Linked DNA regions of Coturnix japonica. The protein of the gene in region 1 binds, or shares a complex with, the protein of each later gene. Links are inferred from orthologs where the notes say so. Each region holds a gene or a part of one and is shown in the gene's direction. Other genes may lie near its edges.

The links. Proteins that work in one complex are often made in the same cells at the same time.
Region 2: ZBTB8OS (region 1) and FAM98B share a complex: the UniProt entries of both Homo sapiens proteins name them as parts of the tRNA-splicing ligase complex. The link is inferred for Coturnix japonica from reciprocal best matches to the Homo sapiens genes ZBTB8OS and FAM98B.

What each region holds. Positions count from the first base shown.
Region 1 is NC_029538.1:4,585,713-4,589,713, reverse strand, and holds the start of ZBTB8OS (protein archease), read left to right. Parts: upstream 1-1,201; 5' UTR 1,202-1,281; intron 1,282-2,260; 5' UTR 2,261-2,388; coding exon 2,389-2,476; intron 2,477-3,309; coding exon 3,310-3,334; intron 3,335-3,737; coding exon 3,738-3,859; intron 3,860-4,001. Other genes in the region: histone-binding protein RBBP4, read right to left, coding at 361-508, 969-984. UniProt on the Homo sapiens protein: Component of the tRNA-splicing ligase complex required to facilitate the enzymatic turnover of catalytic subunit RTCB. Together with DDX1, acts by facilitating the guanylylation of RTCB, a key intermediate step in tRNA ligation.
Region 2 is NC_029520.1:25,938,904-25,941,649, forward strand, and holds part of FAM98B (protein FAM98B), read left to right. Parts: intron 1-433; coding exon 434-550; intron 551-1,420; coding exon 1,421-1,588; intron 1,589-1,713; coding exon 1,714-2,079; 3' UTR 2,080-2,746. UniProt on the Homo sapiens protein: Positively stimulates PRMT1-induced protein arginine dimethylated arginine methylation.

The sequences.
Region 1 (4,001 bases):
CCTACCCCCAGATACCTCCAGCAGTTCCCCTGCCTTCCTTTAAGAGACTCTAACAGCCTCCCCAGCGCACAGTTGGAGATGCATATACACTCTTTGGAAGCAGAATGTTGTGGAAGATTAGGATGAAAGAGTGCTTAAAGTGAAACTATATTTAGTTCTCTGTGGGGAGGAGGGCTTTGCATTTCAAAAAGGAGAACGAAGCTGGAAGAAGAAAAGCATCAAAATCAAAGACGTGAAGCATTTTCTTGGTGATAAGCAGCACTTTCCCCACATTAAAGGTGTCTCTGGGGTTTGCAGACGAGACAAGGAGTCACACGGAGCCTTACTTCTGCAAGGAGTACATCCAGAACGCACCCTCACCTCGTCACATCGGGGAGCCACTGCGCAGTCAGGCTGGGCCACTCCAGAGCGTGGGTCATTACCAAGTCATATAAGAAGGGTGTGTTCTTCTTCCATATCTTATACTCCTCGTTGATCACACGTTCTTCCACTGCGTCATCAAAGGCTGCTGAAGGGTTCATGAAAGCAATGCGGGATGTTAGCGTTTATCAGGACAGGCACAACACACACAGAGATGGGTGGGCACTCAATAACGGGGCACTCAATAATGGAGCACTCAATAACGGGGCCCTCACTCAATAACGGGCCCCACCACACGCAGCTGTTTATCACCCAACGTTGCTGCGGGACACGCCGCCCCCCCCGCCCGCAGCCCCTCGCAGTGTCAACGTAGCGACCCGTTGTAACCCGTTGTAACAGGCCGGTCCCTGCTGTTTCCCCCAGCGCCCCGCAGGCCGCACGGGACGCCCCCCGCCCCAGGGCACGGCCCAGCGCCCCCTGCCGGAGCCCCCCCGCCATCACTGCGCACGGCGCCGGCCGATGGAGGCGGGGGGGGCGGGCAGTGAGGCCTGAGGCCTCTCGGAGCCGAGTGAAGGCCGCAGCGCCCAGGCCGCGCCGCCGGGCCTTACCTTCCTTGTCCGCCATTGTGGGCGGCGGGATGAGGCTGCGCTGCGCGAGGCGGGCGCTGCTGGCTCCGCTCCGGACGCGGCTCTATTGTTTCCTGCCCCCGCTCCCTGCCGCTCCCGCGCCGCGCACCCCTTCGCGCGCCAACACTGACCAATCCCCGCCCGCCGCCGGGAGGCTTCCGCCAATCGGAGAGAGGCAAGGGGCGGGAACGAGGGGCAGGAGAGCGCGCTCGGCGGTCACGTGTGAGGGCGGCCATTTCCGCGGAGCCATTTCCGGACGGAGCGGGTGGGCGGCTCTTAAAGGGACAGTGCCCCGGTGAGTGCGGTCTGCGCGGGGGGGGGGGGGGTCTGCAGGATGGCACCGTGAGCCGGCCCCGAGCTGCCCCTGAGCTCTGTCCTACCGGTTACCGGTCGCTTAATGGGTCTCTGTGACCCGCCCCGTTCCCGGTTTGTGGCTCCGTTCACACTCAGCCCTGTGCTCTTTCGGCCTTATTCCCTCCCAGGAGCGTTTCCCAGCTCGCAGGTCTCGGTGCTGATCTGCGAACAGAACCCGGAGATCCCGTGTGGGATCGTCCCATGGCCGGCAGTGAGAGCTGCTCCTATGGGAAAAGCCACGGTGGACTCACGTGGGATGTCGGGAAATAATTACCCTGAAGTTAATGGGGCGCTGCAGCCGGTCTGATGTGTTTGCGAGGGAGAGTCGGTGTGGAACCGACTGGTGGGATCCACTGGGTGGGATTGAAGTGCTCCATAACGATGTGCTGTGCCCCATAATAATGTGCTGTGCCCCATAATAATGTGCTGTGCCCCATAACGACATGCTGTGCCCCATCACAACGTGCTGTGCCCCATAACGTGCTGTGCCCCATAAGGTGCTGTGCCCCATAACAATGTGCTGTGCCCCATCATGTGCCATGACACACAGCAGGCTGTGTACCCTGTGCAGTGAAGCTCCAAAGCCAAAGTTACCCGTGTAACTTACTGTAGAGCTGGTAGAATTATGTCCTCGTAGATGCAGTATTTTATTGCTGGAGGGTGATTCACACGGAAGGATCAGGGTTCCTCCCTGCAGAGGCTGAAGGGCACACTGTTGGTGCATGCTCTCGGTGCACACTGTTGGTGCATTGCACACTGTCAGTGCACACTGTTGGTGCATGCTCTCAGTGCACACTGTTGGTGCATTGCACACTGTCAGTGCTCGCTGTCGGTGCGGTGCTGGGTGTCACTGCTGTGTGCCGGCAGTGTGAGCAGCACAGCACTGAACTCTGTGCTTCTAATCTTGTTTTCATGCACAGCCTGTGTGCAGCTGCTCCCCATCGGCTGCTGCTGAGAGCCCCAGCTGGAAGCAGCTCTCCTGTCCAGCCCAGCAACACCCTGCAGTGGCAGTGGCCATGTTCAGTGTGAGCAGGAAGTGAGCGCAGCGATGGCAGGCGAGGAGCGGGACTACAACCTGACGGAGGAGCAGAAGGCTGTGAAGGCCAAGTACCCACCGCTCACCAAGAAGTACGAATGTGAGTGACACTGATACACTGTGTGTGTGTGTGTGTGTGTGTAAGAGGGAAATGGGAGGAGCTCTTTAGGTGCTTGTGGGGTTTCGTACTGTGCCAGTGTCTGTGTTCAGGCTGTGGGATGCATCTGGCGTTGGATAATAGAGCGGAGATAACTGCAATTGCTGTTATTGCACACAGCTCCTTCTCTGCCCCAAGTGCCTTCTAAGTGGCTGTCAGCACAAGGGCTGCCTTGGGCACAGCAGAGTGTGTGTCTGTTGGAGGGACGGAGCAGGAGCACGGTGACACATTACAACCATTAACGTTGTTTCCATAATTGGCAAAGGTTTTCTCTTATATTCACTGGAATTTGTTTGCTTTAGTGACAGTTGTTGAGGAGCAGTTCATGTGTGTGAGCTCTGAGCAGCCTCACAATGAACCTCCAGCTGCAGCAGTTGCAGGGCACACTGTGCTCTATGTCCCAGGGTGGCTGTCTCTAACACTATGGCTTTATTTTGCATTTCTCTGGTTCCTCTAAAGGAATGTAAATGGTGTTTGTGTAAAACTTGACACACACTTGGGATGTTAAGCCTGGTTAAAGGCTTTCACTGCAGTTAACCTGCAGAGCCTGTTGCATTACGGTAACCACACACAGTGCTGTACGTGTGGGGGCTTCTGCTGAGCAGAAATAATCCAAGATTTCATCTGTGCTGTTGTTTCTATGGTACTAGAAAATAGACACGCAGTTTTATGTCTCAAGTTTAAGTCATTGTTATAACATTGATATCCAACACTTCTAATCCTCTTTTGAAGTTCTATTTGCTGATGCTGTGCCTTTCTTTTCTTTCCCTCCCCAGATCTGGATCACACAGCTGACGTGCAGTAAGTCTGGGCTGCTCCCACTGCTGGGGGTGCACGGGGCCACACAGTGTATTTCTGATGCACTATTCTTGTGGTGCTTAAGCCTCTGTTATTGGAAATCTAGTCAACTCCTGCCCTTACAGCGCGTTTCATCTCAGCAGCACTCCGTCATAGACACCCATTTACATTACAAAGGGCATTCCTCTTGTCTGGTGAAATAAGAATTTTCCTTTTTCTCCTAAGAAATACTTCTCACATCCTGTAGGAAGAAAAATCTCCATAATCTCCCCATACATGTAAGCTCAGACAAGCATTTCTGTGCAATGACCTCCTTTGCATTTGTTCTTACATTCGTATTTCTCGCCTGCGTAGTACATTGGGGTTTTATGGTTACAGAGCAGTGAGTTACCCCGTGTCTCTCTAGGCTGCACGCATGGGGAGACACTTTGGAAGAAGCCTTTGAGCAGTGCGTCATGGCCATGTTTGGGTACATGACTGATACAGGGACTGTGGAGCCTCTGGACACTGTCGAAGTAGAAGCAGAAGGTAAAAACTGCACTGACTTCTCATAGTGGAGCTGTGGGAACCCTATTAGTGGAATGTACCAAAATCCTCTGAGTCTTCTGATGTAGTTTTGTAGTAGTTAATTATAATTAAACTAAGGATCAGTGATCTGAATCTTATAGTA
Region 2 (2,746 bases), on another chromosome or scaffold:
GAGGCCGAGGGGAGACCTTATCGCCCTCTTCCAGTACCTGAAAGGTGCTTACAGTGAGAGTGGGGCAGGTCTCTTGTCACTGGTGAGAACTGACAGGAAGAGGGGAAATGGCCTCAAGTTGTGCCATGGCAAGTTTAGGTTGGATATTAGGAAACACTTCTTTTACAGAAGGGGTAGTTAAGTATTGGAATAGGCTCTCCAGGGAGGTGGTTGAGTCGCCGTCCCTGGATGTGTTTAAGAGCCGTTTGGATGTGGTGCTCAGGGTTGTTAGAGTTAGGGTACTATGGTTAGGCTGTGGTTGGACCTAATGATCTTCAAGGTCTTTTCCAACCTAGGTAATTCTATGATTCTGTGCACTTTCATTTGACTTGTATGACTTATACTTGACCTGTATAGAACTGAACATTTGGGTTTTTGTACTGTAACACTACAGGAAAGATTGGAAAAAATCAATGATGCTCTTCGCAGTGAATACGAGTGTCGCCGTCGTATGTTAATGAAGAGGCTAGATGTGACAGTGCAGTCTTTTGGCTGGTCTGACAGAGCAAAGGTGAGCTTGCTGCGTTCTTTGCTTCCTGTAGATGGGAGTCTGCTACAATTCTGCAGGTCTTCTTAGCAAATGTACCTACTATGTAAATACAATTCCATTATTGCTGTCTACTTTTCAAGCAGTTTCTCATTCTGGGTTGTAATATCTGACTGCTAGATGGTGTGGAAGGGGAAGAATTTGTGGCACAGGCCATCTTTTGTGAGCGAGTGTCTGTAGCTCCAAAAATAGAAATTCAAGCATCCTCTGCTGAGGTTTTTCACTCTAAGTCCACACCTCCCTTTTTCTTCCCTATATCCACCTGCCCCCAGTGAAGTGAAGTAAGAGGAATCCTCAACATTTCTCTTAGAAATGCAAGAGGAAGCCAAACACTGGGCCTTAACATAGATAACCTACAAGGTCAGCGAGATAATTGCAATGACTGTAAACTCATTTTCCCCTCAGTTTTTTTGTAGAACACTTGTTTAGAACTTCTCCAAAAAAGCTTTTGGGATGCAAAATGTTTTGGTATTGATGGTTTTTTTAAGCCAGCAAGCAAGTTATTTTCCATTTTTAATTCGGTTACTCTCTTGCCTTCCTCCCTTACAGCAGGGAGTCTAAATTTTAGTCTTAGATATCTTGTAAAGCATCAAAGAAAGTTTGCTGTCAGTGGATAGAAGAATCTCTTTTAACTGTGCTGAGTCTTAGCAGCATATTTTGTACGTCACCATATGAAGAGAATTGGTGACAGCTGGCACCACGTTTTGTAAGGTAACCCAGTTTTACAGACATTACAACCACTGCAACTTACTGAGACCTGTACAGTGTGTTTTACAGCCTACATACAGTAAGTGTGTTTATGTCTAGTAAGTTATGTTTGATTTTTATCATTAGGTAAAAACGGATGACATAGCACGAATCTATCAGCCCAAGCGCTATGCATTGTCTCCAAAGTCAACAGTAACATTAGCTCACCTTCTTGCCGCTCGAGAGGATTTATCAAAGATCATAAGAACAAGTAGTGGATCAACAAGAGAAAATACAGTTTGCGCAATCAACAAGGTAGCTTTTCTTTCTGGGATATGATAAAAGGAAAGATGGGTGACATGCAGACAGCATGTCTTTGTCTGTAAGAGAATTAGCCTCTGTCCTTTCAAGTTATTATATCCCTTTATTTTTCAATATAGGTTCTGATGGGGAGAGTACCTGACCGTGGAGGCAGACCAACAGAGATTGAACCACCTCCTCCTGAAATGCCTCCGTGGCAAAAAAGACAGGAGGGTGGTGGAAGAGGTGGCTGGGGAGGTGGAGGTGGTGGAGGGAGGGGCGGCTGGGGTGGTGGAGGGGGTAGAGGAGGTGGTGGGGGTGGCTTTGGGGGTGGGGGTGGGGGTGGCTTTGGAGGTGGGGGTGGGGGTTTCAGGGGCGGTGGAAGAGGTGGAGGTGGTTTCCAAGGCGGCAGGGGGGACTATGGTGGCAGGGGTGGTTATGGTGGCAGAGGGGGTTATGGAGATCCGTATGGTGGAAGAGGAGGTGGAGGTTATCGGAGATACTGAAAGAGTAGTAAACAAAATATAGTGGTGGTGTTTACTGGTATCAGGAATTTAGATAATGGTACCTTTGGTTTAGATTAGATTTAAGTATGACCACGTGAATCATTGCATTCGACCAATGTTGTCACTGAATTCTTTTAGTTAACTAAGCAGAACATTTATACTAAAATATCATGATTAGAGTCTTCGCTTTTTGTACTGGTTGTGTTTTGTTGTTTTTTTTTTAATTATGTTCATTTATTTAAAATAAGCCTCAGAAAACAGAATAAAAACCTTTTTAAAGAAACAGAATAAAAATGACGTTCAGGCTTCTCTAATTATTCATTGTTGCATGTGAATTCTCCTGCTCCAAAAGCTGGATACAAAAAAAAAAAAGAACTAAAAAATCAGACCTAAGAACTTGAGGGAGACACTTCTGAAAGTCCGGACTGCTGCTCTTGTGCTTTTTTCCTTATCCAGTTTTTACATGGGACATATTGGAGAACTTCAGTTTCAAGTTGTCACTTAAGGCTTTGGTCAGAGTTATTCAGGGAGCTTTCCTTTTCTTTCAGAACTTGACATAAAAGTAACATCCTGAATTACTTCTCTATTGATACTAGTAAAATTAGGTGGCTTTGTGTGTTTGTAAATACATCGGAAATTAACCGAAGGTCAGAGCATGGACCACAAA